Linked DNA regions of Drosophila melanogaster. Changing the gene in region 1 together with any one later gene gives a genetic interaction. Each region holds a gene or a part of one and is shown on either strand. Other genes may lie near its edges.

Evidence for each region. Genes that interact genetically often act in the same process or in processes that back each other up.
Region 2: of Bx (region 1) and drpr, changing one suppresses a phenotype caused by changing the other (phenotypic suppression), as found in Drosophila melanogaster (one study listed by BioGRID).
Region 3: of Bx (region 1) and Tango14, changing one enhances a phenotype caused by changing the other (phenotypic enhancement), as found in Drosophila melanogaster (one study listed by BioGRID).

What each region holds. Positions count from the first base shown.
Region 1 is NC_004354.4:18,564,348-18,572,251, reverse strand, and holds Bx (beadex), read right to left. Parts: upstream 5,947-7,904; 5' UTR 5,841-5,946; coding exon 5,628-5,840; intron 5,557-5,627; coding exon 5,114-5,556; intron 4,742-5,113; coding exon 4,616-4,741; intron 1,689-4,615; coding exon 1,316-1,688; coding exon of another isoform or gene 983-1,315; 3' UTR 526-982; downstream 1-525.
Region 2 is NT_037436.4:1,728,094-1,733,019, forward strand, and holds the start of drpr (draper), read right to left. Parts: upstream 3,015-4,926; 5' UTR 2,432-3,014; intron 1-2,431. Other genes in the region: Oseg4 (outer segment 4), read right to left, coding at 3,235-3,427, 3,496-4,926. UniProt on the Drosophila melanogaster protein: Receptor which is involved in the phagocytosis of a variety of cells including apoptotic cells, severed and pruned axons, degenerating dendrites, salivary gland cells, germline cells and bacteria.
Region 3 is NT_033779.5:1,157,100-1,160,734, reverse strand, and holds Tango14 (transport and golgi organization 14), read right to left. Parts: upstream 2,075-3,635; 5' UTR 1,760-2,074; coding exon 1,268-1,759; intron 980-1,267; coding exon 635-979; 3' UTR 515-634; downstream 1-514. Other genes in the region: CG5080 (uncharacterized protein), read left to right, coding at 1-291.

The DNA.
Region 1 (7,904 bases):
ATATACACACGCACGCACACAAATCCTTAACTTTACATCGACCTATCTTAGGCGCTTTACATCTAACGCGCTGGATCATCGTGGATCTGGCCATCATACCTCATCTACAATCCATCTAGAAATCATCCAGCTCCAGCTACTTCTATACAACGTTCGCCGTGGAAAGAACATTCTTTAGCCTCGCACTAAACTAAACTTAAATAATAATCAACAACGTTGCTCCAACAGACTTAAAATGGAATTAGAACAAAAATCATGTGTGCTTAAGTCGTGTGCAGAATGTCTCAATATTTACACATCAAAGTTCACTTTTGCCAATTGCCCTCTAGCTCCTCTAGCTCCTCATCATCTATCTCTCTTCATCTGACTCTACTCTACGATCCTGCGGCTCCTTCGGATTCGAAGGACACATGGAAAATCGAACAGTGATCGGTGGGGATGTTTAGCTCTCTCGATTTCGCAGGTCCACAAATCCGATTCTCTCCACCAGGCCGCCCTTGTCATTCATTCCACATTCATCAGTTTAGTCCTTCGTTTATTTTTTTTTTTTTTTAACTTTTTGGCACTGCTTTGAATTTCTTTTGGCACCGCACGCTTCGAGCGTGAAAATAAAATTATTTATGCATATACATAGATAAATACGAATATATCTATATGGAGTATGTAAAAAAAAAAAAAGGATCCCGCTAATACGTCAACAGTTTACAAGGAAAATATGTACAGTATGTAGTGGAAACGAAAATAAAACTAGTTTAAAAACAAATGGGGCGGTTATTCTCGAATAGAACTAAGTAAACATATTGTCTCTTAAATGTTAGGATCTAAAAATGTCTGCAAATTCAGCAAGTACTTTTCTGTAGGCTAACTAAACTAGGCCTTTAAAACTATAAAACTTGAACTCAGTCAAAGCAAACGAAGATTTGAATATCGATTCTGGATTTCTGCATCCTTTCCGCTAGCGTTTTCTCGCCCGTCGATTTCCTCAGTTGCGGTTGTAAAACTTTCTTTGGTAGCGCTTGCAGCCGCTTCCGATGCTGCCAACGCCTCCTCCTCCTCCTGCCCCTCCGCCTGGTCCACCGGCGGATCCTGCTCCTCCTCCTCCTACTCCTCCACCGCCGCCCATTCCTAGGCCCAATCCCATGAGCTGTTGCTGTTGCTGCTGCTGTTGGTGATGCTGCTGATGCTGGTGCTGATGCTGCAGCCCGAAGCCCGAGTAGAATTGCTGACTCGCCGCTCCAACTCCAACTCCAACTCCAGCGCCGACTCCAGATCCCGGCACAACAGCCCCAGCGGCACCCATGCCCAGGGCTTTATTTTAGCTGGACGCGCCCAGTTGATTCTTCATATGGGCAGCGGCGGCGGCGGCAGCAGCAGCAGCGGCAAACGGTGAGCCACCGCCGGTCGGTGTCTGTGGGCCATTGTTGTTGTTATTGTGATCGCCAGGGGTGCGCGGTCCGTTGACCATGCCCACGCCATTCACATTGCCGCCACCGGGTCCGCCGCCCAGCAATCCACCAGCGGTATTCTGCGCCCCAGCCGCTCCCGTCGGTGAGCCCTGGCCCAAGGAGGAGACGTGTCGCTTGAGCATCGGATGATTGGCCATCGATGCGAAGACCAGGCGCTCCTCATAGTCGTACTCGCAGAGTATCTTGTTCTCGCACAGGTAGAAACGGTCGCCCACACAGAATCTGAAATAACCGGAAAACGGCAGTGGTTAGTACTACGGCACAACAAGTCGCAAAGGAAGTGGAAACGATTTTTCCACACGCTTAGGCAGACCCAGAAATCGGTGGGGGGGAATCAAAGGCATAAACACAACGACAAAGACAACGACAGCAACGATGAGCGATGACAATTGACAGCGGTTATGGCGACTGTAGCTGCCAGCCAGCCCGGCAACTCAGGAACTGTCGTCTAAAAACAAAAGCAAAACGGTTCCAAAGAACAAGGACAGCTACTCAGGGAATGGCAGACGGGGCGGGACCGAAACAGGACCAGCACAAGGACAAGGAAGTCAGATAAGCGCTAGGCAATGTCGCTCCGCTGTCAGCAACAGTTGGTGTGGCAGGAGCATGGGTCTGGAGCAGAGGAGCCTGGAGTGCTGGCTCCACTTCGGTTGGAGTACGGAGTCGAGAGTGTACATTCAGCCAACTGCAAATAAAGTTGGCTCCCGGCATGGAGCCCTTTGTCAAAATATTTATGTTAGCACCTGTACGGATGGCGGAGGCGGATGCCACGCCCACTCCGGCCAACAGCAAACAGATACACTCGATGCAAACCGAAAGGGAGCTCGCATTACAAACGAAAAAAGCCGAAAAAAGAATACGATTCACTTGGGGATGAGATGGAGTCGCGTTGAGCAGACGAGTTGATGTCCTTTGAAACCAGCTAGATCTGGTATTGAAAAGTGAGAAAGACCAACGATGATTGTGCTTATTCCTTAGAATAAAAAAGACAAGGGGTAAACGTTTAGAGATACTACTACTACTACTTTCTTATCCGCTACAACTTGCAAGTTGCCTCGAACTTTATCCATCCTTTCCATCACATATTCTGCTATCCTGATGCAATACTCTACGCCCTCCTCCTCCGCCGGCGTATGCAAAAAAGAAACGTTTAAAGTTTGATTCCCCGAGGAGGACGGGGCACGGGAACACACTGCATCCGTTTTGGTAAGGAGTCTGAGTAAATCAGCTTACAGCAGACTTACAGCGGATATGAAATTTGGCTTTTGATTTACGTCAACATTTTGTTGGCCCGCTGCTTTCGGTTGCGTGGCCAAATCGATTGACGGCCCATGTGGGCGTGGCAGGGAGCAGTGCACAGAAATCTGGCCGGCCGGAGCGGGCAAAAAAGCGCTTTGTTTATCTACCAAAACAGGGCAACAAAAGTCCATGAAAACGAGTCAACAAAGTCGAAACTTTTGCTTCTTTTGCCGCTGGCCTGGCATTGAGCGCACCTGTGACATGGCGATGGCGATGGCGATGGCATTGGCATTGGCGATGGCAATGGTGATGGCTATGGAAATGGACACGGACATGTTGATAAGTGAGTGCCTCTGTGCGGGACTCGCACATCCGGGCATTTCGTTCGCCTCCTCTCCGGCTCCATTCCCCGTCGTTCACAAGAAACCAACAGCAAATTGTCAACAGGAAGCACACATACCAAAATAAAATGGGGGGGAAAAAAAATTGTGAAAAATTCGCGTGGACGAAAGATTTGACTTGGATGCGACTCCAATCGCAGGAGAGCAAGGATGTCGTCGTCCAGTGCTGACGACAGGAAATTATGCAAACCTCACCGACGACTGCAATGCATTTTGCAGCATTTCCCAAACAGCAACAGGACCCAGGACTCAGCGGTAGGACTCAACAGGAAAAGTCTTTTTGTTTGCCAAATGAAAGCCCGCATTTTAAATGTGGCCATTCGAACCATCCGACCAACCAACAAGGCGGAGCGAAGCAGCCGCTGGCCATGTGGCCACGCCTCAATGGATTTTTTCGGCAATTGAATTAATTTACGTGAAAAATTGATTAGCAACAGGAGGGGATGCATCTCCACTGGTCATTTTTATGGATAACGTGGTGAAATATGGGATAACCATGACCCATCATACTCTCAATCTTTTGATATTAGTCTAAGCTAAATTTGCATTAGTTCTATATTATATTATTCTAGCGTAAACAGGATTATAGAAAAGTCAAAAGTTAACCATAATGGCATCTCCGCAAGGGTGAACTTCTCCAAGTTCGTTGCTCCTGTTGCATTTTTAAAGCCAATTCTCGGCAATGCAAAAACAAAGGGCCAGCAGGAGCGCAAAAAGCGGGGAGATTCCCGGATAAGGAGCGGTGGCCAAACGGGTGGAGACGATTCTCACAATATGCCAATATGTTATAACATTTATTTCAATATTTTTTACCAGCCAGCACCGTGTGGCGGCGCTTTTAATATTTAATGTTCGCTCCCTTGTTGCGTTGCACAATCGACGACTATGCCGGAGGTTTCTGGTGGACCGGGAGCCACGAAGGCATATGTGCGCCCTCATTATTAATGCAGAAACCCGAAACGAAAACGAAACCAAACCAAACCAAACGAAACGAACCGGCCAAAATGGAAGAATGAGACGCGACCCCATCCACCGGGCAATCGGGCTGCAGTTTAAAGCTCTCCAGAGTGACATTTCACGAATTGGCCAAGTCCAATAAAATATTTGAGGCCTTGGAATGCTGGGCGTTGACTTGATGGCACCCAAAAGGGTTCGGTTCGTTCGGTTCGTTCTGTTCAATGCGAAATTTATGCGGTTTTCATAGAAAACGTATGACACTAAAGGGCCATTCTTCCCACCCCGTTTGTTTAGCCGTTAGCTTGTAAACGATGGCAATTTGCTGTCTGGCGGCACGTTAATAAAACTTCAAGTGCCACTTTGGGCCCGCTCCGATGGGCCAAAGATTAAAAAGGGATTCATGTGGCCACCTTCAATGCGAATCTCTGTGCAAATTGCCCATAAAAATGCATGCGAAATCGTTTAGTCGCTTCTCCCACACAATGGATGATGTATGGTCTGCCCCACAATGGGGCAATGGGCCAGTTTGGCCAAATTCCTTTCGATGCTCACCTGTGGTTACACTGCTGACAAGCGAAGCACTCCAAGTGATAGACATTGGTCCTTGCACGCATCACCATCTCGAAGGCTGGGATCACCTTGCTGCAGGCGGCGCAGTAGCCCGTGTTGCCAAACAATCTGCGGGGAAAAGTTATGAACAGATTAGTAAAAAGTTTGAAGTTTATATGGTTTACATGGTTCTGACTTCTTTAAGTAAACATCTTTACTCTTTGCTATTAAATTGAATATGCGTAAAAAAAAGCTTTAGGTAGAATAGGTACTGTTTAAATATAAATTACTCTTAGCAAGAAAGCTTCTTAAAGTCTTATAAAACTAAAAATAAGTCACAGAATATAATGAATACTTTATCTATAAGCATTATAGACCTGAGTTCTCAAGAATTGGTATCATTTTTAACTTCTAACATGACTAATGAATACCATCGTCTATTATACTTCTAGGTATATTACACTATCAAATGGTTTTAGTATTTCTTAAATCGCAGCTAACCTCAAGTAGTCCCGCTTGCAGAGCATCAGGTTGCCCTTGGTGTAGAGCGTGGAGCCCACCTCGCCCAGGCGGCAGTCGCAGCAGCCGCACTTGAGGCAGTCCTCGTGCCACAGCATGTCCAGGGCGCGGAGGAGATAGCGGTCCTGGATGTGCTTGCCGCAGCCGGCGCACAATTGGCTGCCGTTGTTGTTGTTATTGTTATTATTGTTGGCAGCGGCGGCGATGCTCTGGACATTCCCGTTGCCATTGTTGCCGCCACCGGCACCGCCGGAGTTGACCACATTGACCACGTTCCCATTGCCATTGGGATTGGGCCCGTTGTTCTGGCCACCGCTGTTCATGCCGGCGTTGCTTTGCTGCGACTGCTGCTGCTGCTGCTGCTGTTGGTTGGAGGAAAGCCCGACGAGACCGGGTTCGGTTTTGGTAATGTCCATAGTCATCATCTGCAAGGGGACAGGAGAAGATATAGTTATTACTCAAGGTTCCATCGCCGGAGTTTTGTGTGTGTGTGTACATTAAGGCTACCGAATCCCTGGTAATAACTGTAAGCGGAAGGGGCAAATCCCCAGGGCCACTGATAAGCGTACTGGGGCACGTATTGCCGCAGGATCGCCTGCTGCTCCAGCTCAATCGACTGCACGTGGGGCACGAAGAACTTGTCCATGTTGTAGAAATTGACGCGTTCTTCATCTTCGCAATGCATACTAGCGTTGTAGAGGTACTCCATTTCGATGTTTTCCTGTTTCCTTCGATTTCAACAGTTTTCTTACAAAAATGACCCGCGAAAGATCAGAAAGCTACTGAGTCTTCTTCTAGCAGTGTTGGCAGTGTTGGCAATACACAAACAAAATAACATTTTATGGCGTGTAAACTATCGTATGCTACTAAGTTCTCAAAAGAAAATAGCTCTTTTGTAAATAAGATGCACTAATCAATGCATTGGACTCATAAAAATAGTTTGGTAATTGTATTTTTGTTATATCAAATAAATTTTTTATAGCATTTTCCTTATTGTAAATTTCTTCAAGTGTCGGCCACTGGCAAAATGTAACGGCAATTATCAGCTGTGGCACAGTGTTGTGAAATGCGCGCCTCTGCGATGGCGTCAGTGTACAAAAGATCACTATTATGCAGCATACTTTTGGGCTGACCACTAAAGTGCACATTGGATTCGCACACAATTCGCAAACTATGCAAAATATTAATACCCCTTTGAAAATGCAATTTCCACAATGAAATGGTGTAATATTCATATTTTCATGACATATTTTCAGCTGAATAAAAAAAAACTACTTCTTCACTTGGGCTCGTCCGGGAATTGAACCCGGGACCTCTCGCACCCGAAGCGAGAATCATACCTCTAGACCAACGAGCCTCGTTGAATGACCCGCTGCTAATCACCCAATAAAAAGTTAGCGATCGTTTTTCGTACTTTCTCCTTTCGTTCAGCACCTTGCTAAGAAACTCAACCAGCGATGTTAAGGAACTTGGAATTTTTTTTTTTGGCCAATTACGATAATATCCCATATTTTTGGACTCTCTTCAAATAGTGCTCGTAGCCCCCAACATAGTATGTATGTATTATCCTCAACTGTTGTCGCCCGATAACGTTGACGTTAACAGAAACCAGCAAAGCGAGCAGCCAACAACAACAAATCAATACAAACAAAAGGCCCATTTACCCATACACAATTTCGTGGAATGCCAAGCGGCGATTTAAAATAACGAGATTTATGACAAATTGGCGCCCCCCATCCCTTGCCAACGCTAAATAGTTTGTTGCAATGTGCAAATTTCAGCAAGCAGCGAGGAAACCCTAAAAATATGCAATGCCAGCGATGCCGCAATGCACTCACTACACTGAACAATGCGGGGAATCATTGCATCATTTTTTTTTTCAAGAAACAACAAATAATATTTAATATTTATATATAAAAACAAGAGATAATTGTGTTCCTAAATGTCCTTGGCACAAAGTAAGAAGCTTATTTGGAATTTAAAATAATCTGCCTGTCAGCGAATCTCTTCAAAGTTTCAGTAGAAACTTTAAGTACTTTCACATTTTATTTTTCACAGTGCATCATTCTTTGCCCGCCGCAGAAGTTGTACACACAATGTGTGCCGTGTCTGGTTCTGCCTTTGGCCGCCTCTCTTTTCGCTGATTGCCCTCGTCCGTGTCCGTTGTCGTCCCTTGTCCGTTGCCCCTGTCCGTTGCCCATCGCCGGACAACCGGGCCAAATGGCTCGCATTAAGCCCTGCGCCATGTAGCGCCAACTGTGACCTCGACTTGACCACGGCCCAGAGAGTGGGCGTTGTGGGTGTAGGGGTTATGCAGCTGCTGGAAATGACTTTAATTAGACGGTCGCCTCCGATCCCCAATACCCACGTGCCCCCTCCCATCGCCAGTGAGTCGTCGGAGGGCGGGTCGAAAAGTCATCAGCAGTTGATGCCCGCCGGCCAGTCGACGGGGGCATCCAGAATGCCAGATGGGTTGGTGCAAGTGGATGCCTGGGTGGCTGCCACTGGACTGCTGCGCCGCCGACTCATAAAAATTCAATCAAATCAATTTATGTAAATTTAACGCGACGTTTCAAACAATAACAGGACCGGACTGGTGGACCGTAGGAGTGCAGGCCGGGAAATGGGAAATGGGGTATGGGGTATGGGGTATGCAGCGCATCAAAACTCAATTTTGGCAGCTGCAACATGCAACGCCAATGTGGCAGCGCAGACTGCATTGTTATTTAGTTTAGACAAATGAAATCGAATGCTAAACGCTGCTCGGAAAAGC
Region 2 (4,926 bases), on another chromosome or scaffold:
ACCAAAGAAAATCTGCGAAATACTTTCGGACTAAGGAGAAAGCTTTGTTGTTAAAAAAACTCAATGGCATTCGTCTATTTCATTCAATTAGAATGATATGTATTTTATAAAGTATAAGCATTGCCTATTTTCGTTCCAATTAAACCTCCATCAGAGCTAAGAGTAGGTCTTATATTCTTCAAGTTGTGTGTATATATTTTGTGATGTATTTTCAATTGATTCAGCACAGTGCATATGTAAACATCTGGATTTGACTTGGATTACTATAATCTTAAGCATAGGGGGAAAATGAGCCAGCTATTCCCCCAACTTCAAGTACTGCGCACTTGATAAAGGCTAAACAAAGATTGTCGCTTCCCGCTTTATATAAACAGAATTATTCTACAAAGGAGGAGCCCTCACTTGAGCTGTACTTTGGATAGCGAAATCAAAGTCGAGTTTACTGAATCCACAATACACATCTCCAATAACCGCAACGCATATGTTTGGCGTTCAGTGGGCAATTTAACGCCTTGGCGAGGCGACAAAGCACATTTGGCAAAAACGATTATTAAGAATAATAAACGATTTCAATGGCAAGAAATAGATTTGGTATAAAAACAAGTTGTTCTGGCCCAGGAAATGAAATTATTGAAAGAATATCAGTTTGCACGAGGTCTAGGGTCTTACATTTGTGAACTACGTAAATGCTAGGCCAATCAAAACTTTCAGTGAACAGTTTAATTAAAGCAAAGAGGCAAAGGGTTCTCAAACGTTATTATTTTGGGATGGATGTTAGCTGCCATTATGAAGTATCAGTGAGAAACAGTGATTTCAGCTGTTTCGTATTCATTTCACAAGTGAGCCAAACACTCAACACCTCAGTTTGTATTGGCCAATTAGCGGGCGAAGCTCGGATTTCTAGCCCGAATTTGGATAGAGCTAGAAGCTTTCTCGATTGATTCAGCGAAGAGAACCGATTTCAGCTGAAAACCAAGAAAACATGTGTATATTATTCTAGTGGAAAGGCACCCACACATTGCAATGCAGACAGACGAACAAGAATTAAGCATAATCATCAGCAAAAGCGAAATGCACTTGCAACAATACGGAGAAAGCAAAGAAAAATGTTGGATAATGCAAACCCAAAGCGAAAAGATAGAGAACAGAGAATGTCGTAATCATAAGGGGAAAACTAACATCCCGACTCATGGGTTGCTCTCTAACCACCGCCACATTGGACAAGAAATCCCAGGAGGTTTCATCCCAGCCACTCCCTGCCACTCCTCCACCCAGCATTATCAATAAAGCTGAGTAATCATGGCGACGACAAAGCCCGGCTCCATAAAGGAACCTAAACAGACATTGTGACATGTACGGCATGGTATGATATGATATGATACCGAGGGTGGGGAGAGTGCACCTCTGAGTGCCATTTCAGTTTTTAATTTTGCAATGGCTTGTGGGACTTTTCGCTGTGCATTGCATTTCGAAGCTCGTGTCCTAAGCAGGCGTCATTGTTCATTAAATCACGTATGATAATAAAAATCAAGTTCCATTGCCAGTGTCAGAAATATAAGGTTAAGCTTAAAATCGCTTGGTTAAGGAAACTGTGTGAAAAATAAAAATGCTTTGTATGGGAAATATGATCGCAGTTTATTCCATACTTATTTAATGAATTCTATAAAAAATAAGAACGGTTTCTACATATATCTTAATTTGTGTGCACCCCCATATTCAGAAGTAATATGAAATATCGCTGAACTGATACCTTAATCAGTACTCATAAAGAATTAAACGCAAAAAAATTTTTTGCGACTTGATCTAAATTATAAACGGCTATTATTGTTATTTATTTTCGTGACGATGCATCGACTGTATTTTAATGTGTGCGTTAGTTAGGCAATTTCGATGTGTGTGAGTTTATGCTGGCTGGGTTTTCATTTGATCCGTTGGCGTTGTTGTTGTTGCGGCTGTGACAGCTGGAAGCTTCAGCAGCAATCTGGAAACTGGAAAGAATCCACAAGATGCGGGTTTCCAGGGAGCGAGGTGCTGGTCGCAGGGGGTCGATGAAAGAGAAGTTTGCCGATTTGCTGCCAATTCCCCGAATGACAGATATAAAGATACATGCATGAGATACAAAGAAGAAGAAGTCGACGAAAGCGCAAAACTAAAGCCAAAGAAAGGCCATTAAATTGTGCGAAAGAGAAACCAGAACAGGTTTAACTGTTCTTGGTGTGCGCCCGATAAAAGCGCTAATTGACACGCACACAAGTGCACTACTGCGGTCATAAACAAACCGCTCGTTGGGAAAGAAGAAAGGTGGAAGGGAAAGAGAGCTGACAAAGCTAACCAGGCGAAATTGCACATTTAACAGAAGAAAACTTATTTTTAACAACATAACAATGACTAAAATTAACGTTAAACTGCCACGATTGGGGTTAAAACTCACCTTGGCAAGAAGCACGGTGTAAACTGGTTTTCGGTTCTCACTCAAAACAAACCAAGAATGCACTCGCAATCGAATTCCACTCAATTTACACGTTTACGAAACTTTGGCCATTAAAACCTCGAGAGGATTTGTATTTTTAAATGCTTACAGCACCTTACCACATATATATATAGCTATATATATAAATTTGCTATTGTTTTTACTTTCTCACCATCCACAAAAACTTGTTTTCGTTGTCGCTACTCTCTATTTTGGCACTCTACTCGCAACTGAGCTGATTTAGCAATTAAAATGCAACCTCTTTAAATAAAAACAATTACTTTTCGTGCACTCCACTAACGACAACAATAAGGACAAACGGGCGCGACGCACAACAACGCAATTCTTTAATGCACTTAAGTATTTTCGTCGGTCAATTGGAGCTCGTTTGGTTTTCGCAAGCACCGCAATTACTATTTACTTTATTTTATATTTGCGTACGCACACCACCGCACGAAGCAGAAATTTATTTAACTTATTTAAAATTCAGCAAGAAACGGACAACCGACTTACTTAGCTGCACTCGCCAGTGTGACCGCTTTGCGAGTGTTGGATGAGCTAGTAGTGTGGCCCTAGCGCACTCCCCAGGAAATACTCACTGTGAACAGTCACTCTTTCCACTTATAACACTTTTCACTTGAAAATAAATTTGAATTCTATCTTAAAACTACATTGTTTATTTGCGGAGTAGATACGCCTGTACCACCTGGGATAAGCAGAATGAAAAACAGCTGGAGTAATTAAAACACTAGTCCCCGCTCATTTCAGATCTCCACCGTCATGGACACGATCAAACTGTGGCACAGTGGGCAAGTTCGGTGCCTGGAGATCTCGGTGGGAGCTGCGCAGTGGTGGCAGGTGGTACAGATCCATATGTTGTTCGTCGGCTGGGTGATGGGTTTCCCGGAGGAGATGCACGCCGGGAAGCGAGCATTGCACTCGGGGCAGGAGGGGGAGCTGAAAGGATCGGCATTCCATGAGTATCATCATTATAATCCAGCTTCTGACGTCGACCCTTCACTTACCTATCTGGCACGGGCACTCCGCAGGAATAGCAATCCACCCTATCGCCAGTGGTGTCCTCCGGATCGTACTTGGCGAAGATCCCAGCCGCCAACTCCTCGTACCGTTGAAGGGTAGCCTCGGGAAGATGAGCCTGTTGCTCCAACTTCATGAAAGCCTTGGAGCAGGTTCCGAAGGCCCGATCCGCACAGCTGGCCAGTGCCAACAGGCTGTAGATGTGCTCTGGAGGCAGGACGTCCTCGTAGTCGCGCAGCCTCACCGCAGTGACCACCGCACTGTGGACGATCCCGAAGCGAAGCTGCCTCTGGGCTAGGAGCATGAAGTGGTAGGCCTCGGCGCAGTGCCAAAGCCTCTCGATGGCGGCCGCATCCTCCAGGGCAATGGAGTCCAGTAGGGTGTTCCTGCCGCTGGCGTAGTCGATCTCCGTCGTGGCCACAGCCTTGAGGTGCTCCTCGGCCAGCAGAGCAGCCAGCACGTACAGCTTCTTGATTCTCAGCAGCGGAGCACGCTTCTCTTGCTCCCGTTCCGCCATTTGAGAAAGCAGGCGAGCTGCATCTAGATGACGCCCAGCATTCCGCTGCATCTCGATGGCTTCCTTGAGGCGTCCCTCCTGGAGCAACTGTGCCGCGTGCTTGGCTATGAGCGTTTGCACCTGGGGCAGCTGGAACCTCTGGGCCAGCTCAACAGCCTCGCCCCACTGCCGGAGATTAACGCAGGTGGCGACGGCGGCCTTCTGGTCGCCGAATCGAAGATGGGCTTGAACAGCCTCGGAGCACATGCCCACGGAGGCCAGCATCTCGGCCAGCTTCGGAAGCAGCGGGCTCTTCTCCGGTAGCCGTTCCACGCACTTTTCCAAGTCGTCGAACTGCTCCAAGTGGTACAGAGCCTCCATGTAACCCTCCAGGTAGTGGGACTTCTCGTAGTATTCCCTGGCACTCTCCCAGGAGCGCAGGTTGGCGAAGTGGTGGCCAATCTCCCGCCAAGCGATCTCCATCTGCTGGTCCGACACTCCCGATCCTCCCATTCTGTACAGCTGCACCACGCGAAACCAATCGCAAAGGGTCATGCGCAGCTCTATGGCCAGATCGCGACGATCCGCGTCCAGGTAGAGCTTCTCCGCCTCCTCGAACTCTCCGTAGAAGGCTGATATCTCCGCCCTCTGCAGCTCCTTGGAGTGTATGGTGCGCAGTCTCTTGACCAACTTAATGCCCGGGTAGTGGGCACAACGGACAAAGGCGTTCTCCGCCGTCTCCAGTTCCAGTTTCTTCAACGCAGACTCCGCCAGCAGTCGCCAGAGCCTCGGATGCGGGTTGTCCTCAATGAACTGCTTGGCATCCTCCAGTCCCACGTGCTCCAGTAGATCGTCGGTATCGCGCAGGGACTTTACCCTCAGCTGAATGATATGCGAAAAATTCTGCAGCTCACCCACGCTG
Region 3 (3,635 bases), on another chromosome or scaffold:
ACTCTCATCACCATGATGGGTCTCGGCAGCCGCGTGGAGGAGACCAAGAAACACATGATCGACATGGACGAGAACCTCAACTATCTGCTGGGCAAGCTGTCGCTCATGTCCACCGAGTTCGCCAGCATCAAGAAGGGCCTGGCCGACTCCCTCGAGGATCTGCGCAACTCCTTCCACGGCCTCCACGAGCGGATGCCCACGGGTCCCGGTCCGCACAACATCGACAAGAACACGTATCTGACCGACGTCAATCTCCTGTCCAAGCGCCACGCTGAGCCCGGTCGGGAGTAGAGCGGCTGAGCGCCGGAGATGACACTTGAACGAAAAGCAATACAATACTTTTAACCATAGCGCTTAAGTCTGCCCACTTACATATACTCATCTAGTTGCGCCTTAAGCTTAAGCACAGCAAAACGTCACTCAATAAAGATCGAATATTATGTACAAGATACGAGCTGCTGCGTTGCACCGCCATTAGAAACGCGCGATCCTCTCCAGCAAAAGACACTTTCATGTGAACAATACACTTTTGCAGTTTACTCTTACGAACTAAAAGGAATTCCTGGCGATAATTTACATAATGTTAAGGTAACTAGTTAATATAAGGGTGTCGCTACCCACGCGAACGATGTGCCTACGTGCCCCACCGCTGCTCGCACCGCGAGTACTTGCACAGGATGCTGGCGAACGTCTCCACGTCGAAGTGGCGTCCGCTGGGATGCGTGTGGAACTCGGTGAAGCGCGCGTGCCAGGGAAGCAGGCCGTAGGTGCACGTCTGCCGGGCGAACACGATGCCCAGCTCCGGCTCCGGGGCCTCGAACCCGAGTCGCTTGCTCAGCATGTCGCTGATCTGCTCCGTCAGCGCTTCGCGCTTCTGCTTAAGTAGGCTCTGCACCAACTCCGTCTTACTGTCTTCGTACAACTCGCGGCAGACGTCGGCGATCAGGGCATGGCCGTCGGAGGCGCTGATTTGATGGAGCTGAAAGACGCCGAAGCCGAAAAGTCAATTAGAAACTGATAAGGCAACGACTAGTTCCGGGAATCGATTACGTTGCTATACATAGGTTTTAATGGATACAAAGGTAAAACTGGTTCTCAGCACGAAGAATTTTTTGTATCTCATGTGAATGATGAACTAAATTAAATCTCCAGCTCATTACTTCTTTTATTTAACAATTGAAACAAAAAGTGTAATACTTGTAAGACATTTTCCGACATCGTTCTAAAGTCCATTACTAATCACGGCTTATCAGACGCCGCCACTCACCTGCAGTTGAGGGGAATGTGAACCGTTCACATAACCATTTGTCTTTTGTCCGTTTTTGGGCTGGTTCTCCAGTTTGCTGGGACTGGCTACGGGTGGCCACTTTAAGCAGCTGCCCGTGTCCGCGTTGGTGGATCGACAGAGATCGGCCATGTCCACGTATCCCCTGCCTTTCGTCCGCCTGTCGTACAGGCTGACGTGTTTGATGCCCACGTCCAGGGCAAAGTCGAAGATCCTGCTGAGGAGCACCGCATCCACGCCGGCATCTACGGGGGAGATAACCAGGACCAGATGCTGCGGCGTCTTCGTCAACTGGGAGCGGCAGTCAGCGAGCACGCGCCGCTCGTGCGCCTCACGTGCCGCTTTGCTGCGCCAAAGGTCATATGACCGGACGGCCAGTGCATTCAGTCGCTCTCGGAGCCGCCACATCAGTTCGTAGCCGCCGACCAGGAGCAGCAGGATCCTGCCCAGCAGCAGGCACAGCACCTCGATCATGTTGCGCAGGTCAGGGGCGGTATCTCGTACAGCGGTTGTCTCTTCTGCCAGGAATCCGCTCCTGTTGCTTCTTCGGTTCCCCGTCACAGTGTACACAAGCGGACATAACCTGCAAACGGCTGGCGGACCTGGGATTAGGGCTTTCCAGAGGTGCCGGCTGCCTACCCACGCTCATCCAGGGTCACTTCGCTACCTGTTCAGTCACTTGAGACGCGGGTGCATCTTGTTATCCGAGCGTAATCAAGTTTTAAGCGATGCGCTTCGCAAGAATAATGAAAATACGTGTTCGTCAGTGTGACCATGCGCCGGATTCCGCAAAATATCGAGAATCTAGAGCAGTTTTATAATTAAGAACTAATTAAAATAACTAAATAAAAAATAAAACATTGATTATTTAATGAATATGTTAGACTAAGTGAAAAGGGAATAACATTTTATTGGAAAACATCTTTATTAGACATACAATGTGAACGATTTAACAAAATAATTTACAGGACAAGAAATAGCGTCAATATCTGAAGGTGAACTCTAGTAGAAATGTACCGTGTTCAATCAAAATATAGTTTATTTACGTGTATATCGAAAAGTCCTAAATGCATTGCAAATAATTTAAGAATTAGTTTATAAGCTTGGCTATTGCACTTCCATCATATTTTATACATTTAAACATCCGTTTTCTTAAGTCTAAAATTTGTTGTATCATATATTTTTAGTATTCTGCCACCCACATAAGGGTTAACTCGCTTGACTATTTCCACGAATGTACGCCTGGTCCCACCAAAGGCCACGCCAAGTTATTATTTTCGCCATTTCGCCGGTGTTCGCTACGCAGCTTCTCGTCAGTTCTAATTGGAATACAACTGCAGATCCTTGCAAATTCATCAGCAGCAAAAGAAGGTGAGTAACGCCTGATTGTTGCTAAAAACGTTCATTTAAACGGGGCTTTGCTATTATTCGCAAATTCTCTTCTCCCGTTCGCCGGCTGAAAGTGTCTGCGGAATTAACGGTTATTGGTGAGGGGTGGGTGGTGCTGTCACGAATTTGAGCGTGTGTGTGTGATGCAGGCTGTGGGTGTTTGTACACACACAACAACAACAACAGCGAAGAGAGCCAAAAAGACAAGAGACAGCTGTGTGATGGCTATTTTTGTGTGATTCATGTTGCTTGTAAAATTAAATCTACATGGTGTATTTTTAACGATGATTTCATATCCGATTCCATGGCATAAAGACACAACTAATTCATTGCCAGCAAGTGTATGCAAATTAACCCTTAGCAGCTCCCATTGCGATTGTTAACCCCCGATAAAAAAAAGTAACTACTCAGCTGTTGTGGCCATTTTTTGTTTTTGTTTCGCTGACTCACAGACACATAGTTGATATGCATATGTATGTATGCATGTATGTAGTTTACGCAAGAGCAAACACGTTTGCTTGTATTCGTGCGCGAATGAGTCAAAAAGTTGGCCAAAACGCTTTTATCAGCGAATCGCGATTGAAAATCGGCAGATATTACCACTCACTCGATTTCGGTGGAAGAAAATAACACCTCGCCTTATAAGGTGGGCGATTTTTCTTCTACCATTACGAACACCCCCCACCCCTGGTAATTCGAGCTCACTCACACTCTCGCAGCGGGAATAACGGTTCCTCAGCTGCAGACATTTAATCTTGGTTTCTAGTTTTTCTTCCCCATTTCTTCTTTGCTTTCTGCACGCAACAAACGCATCTGCCGCAGAAAACGCATCAAGACTGCAAGGAGAACTAGTATCGCCAGGCGAAAGTTGAATCTCGGCTTACTTGTCCTCGGCGGCTTAGCCCCTCCCTCCAATCCAACGGCTACTGATGCATTTCCCACTCTAATTGCCAGCCATTTG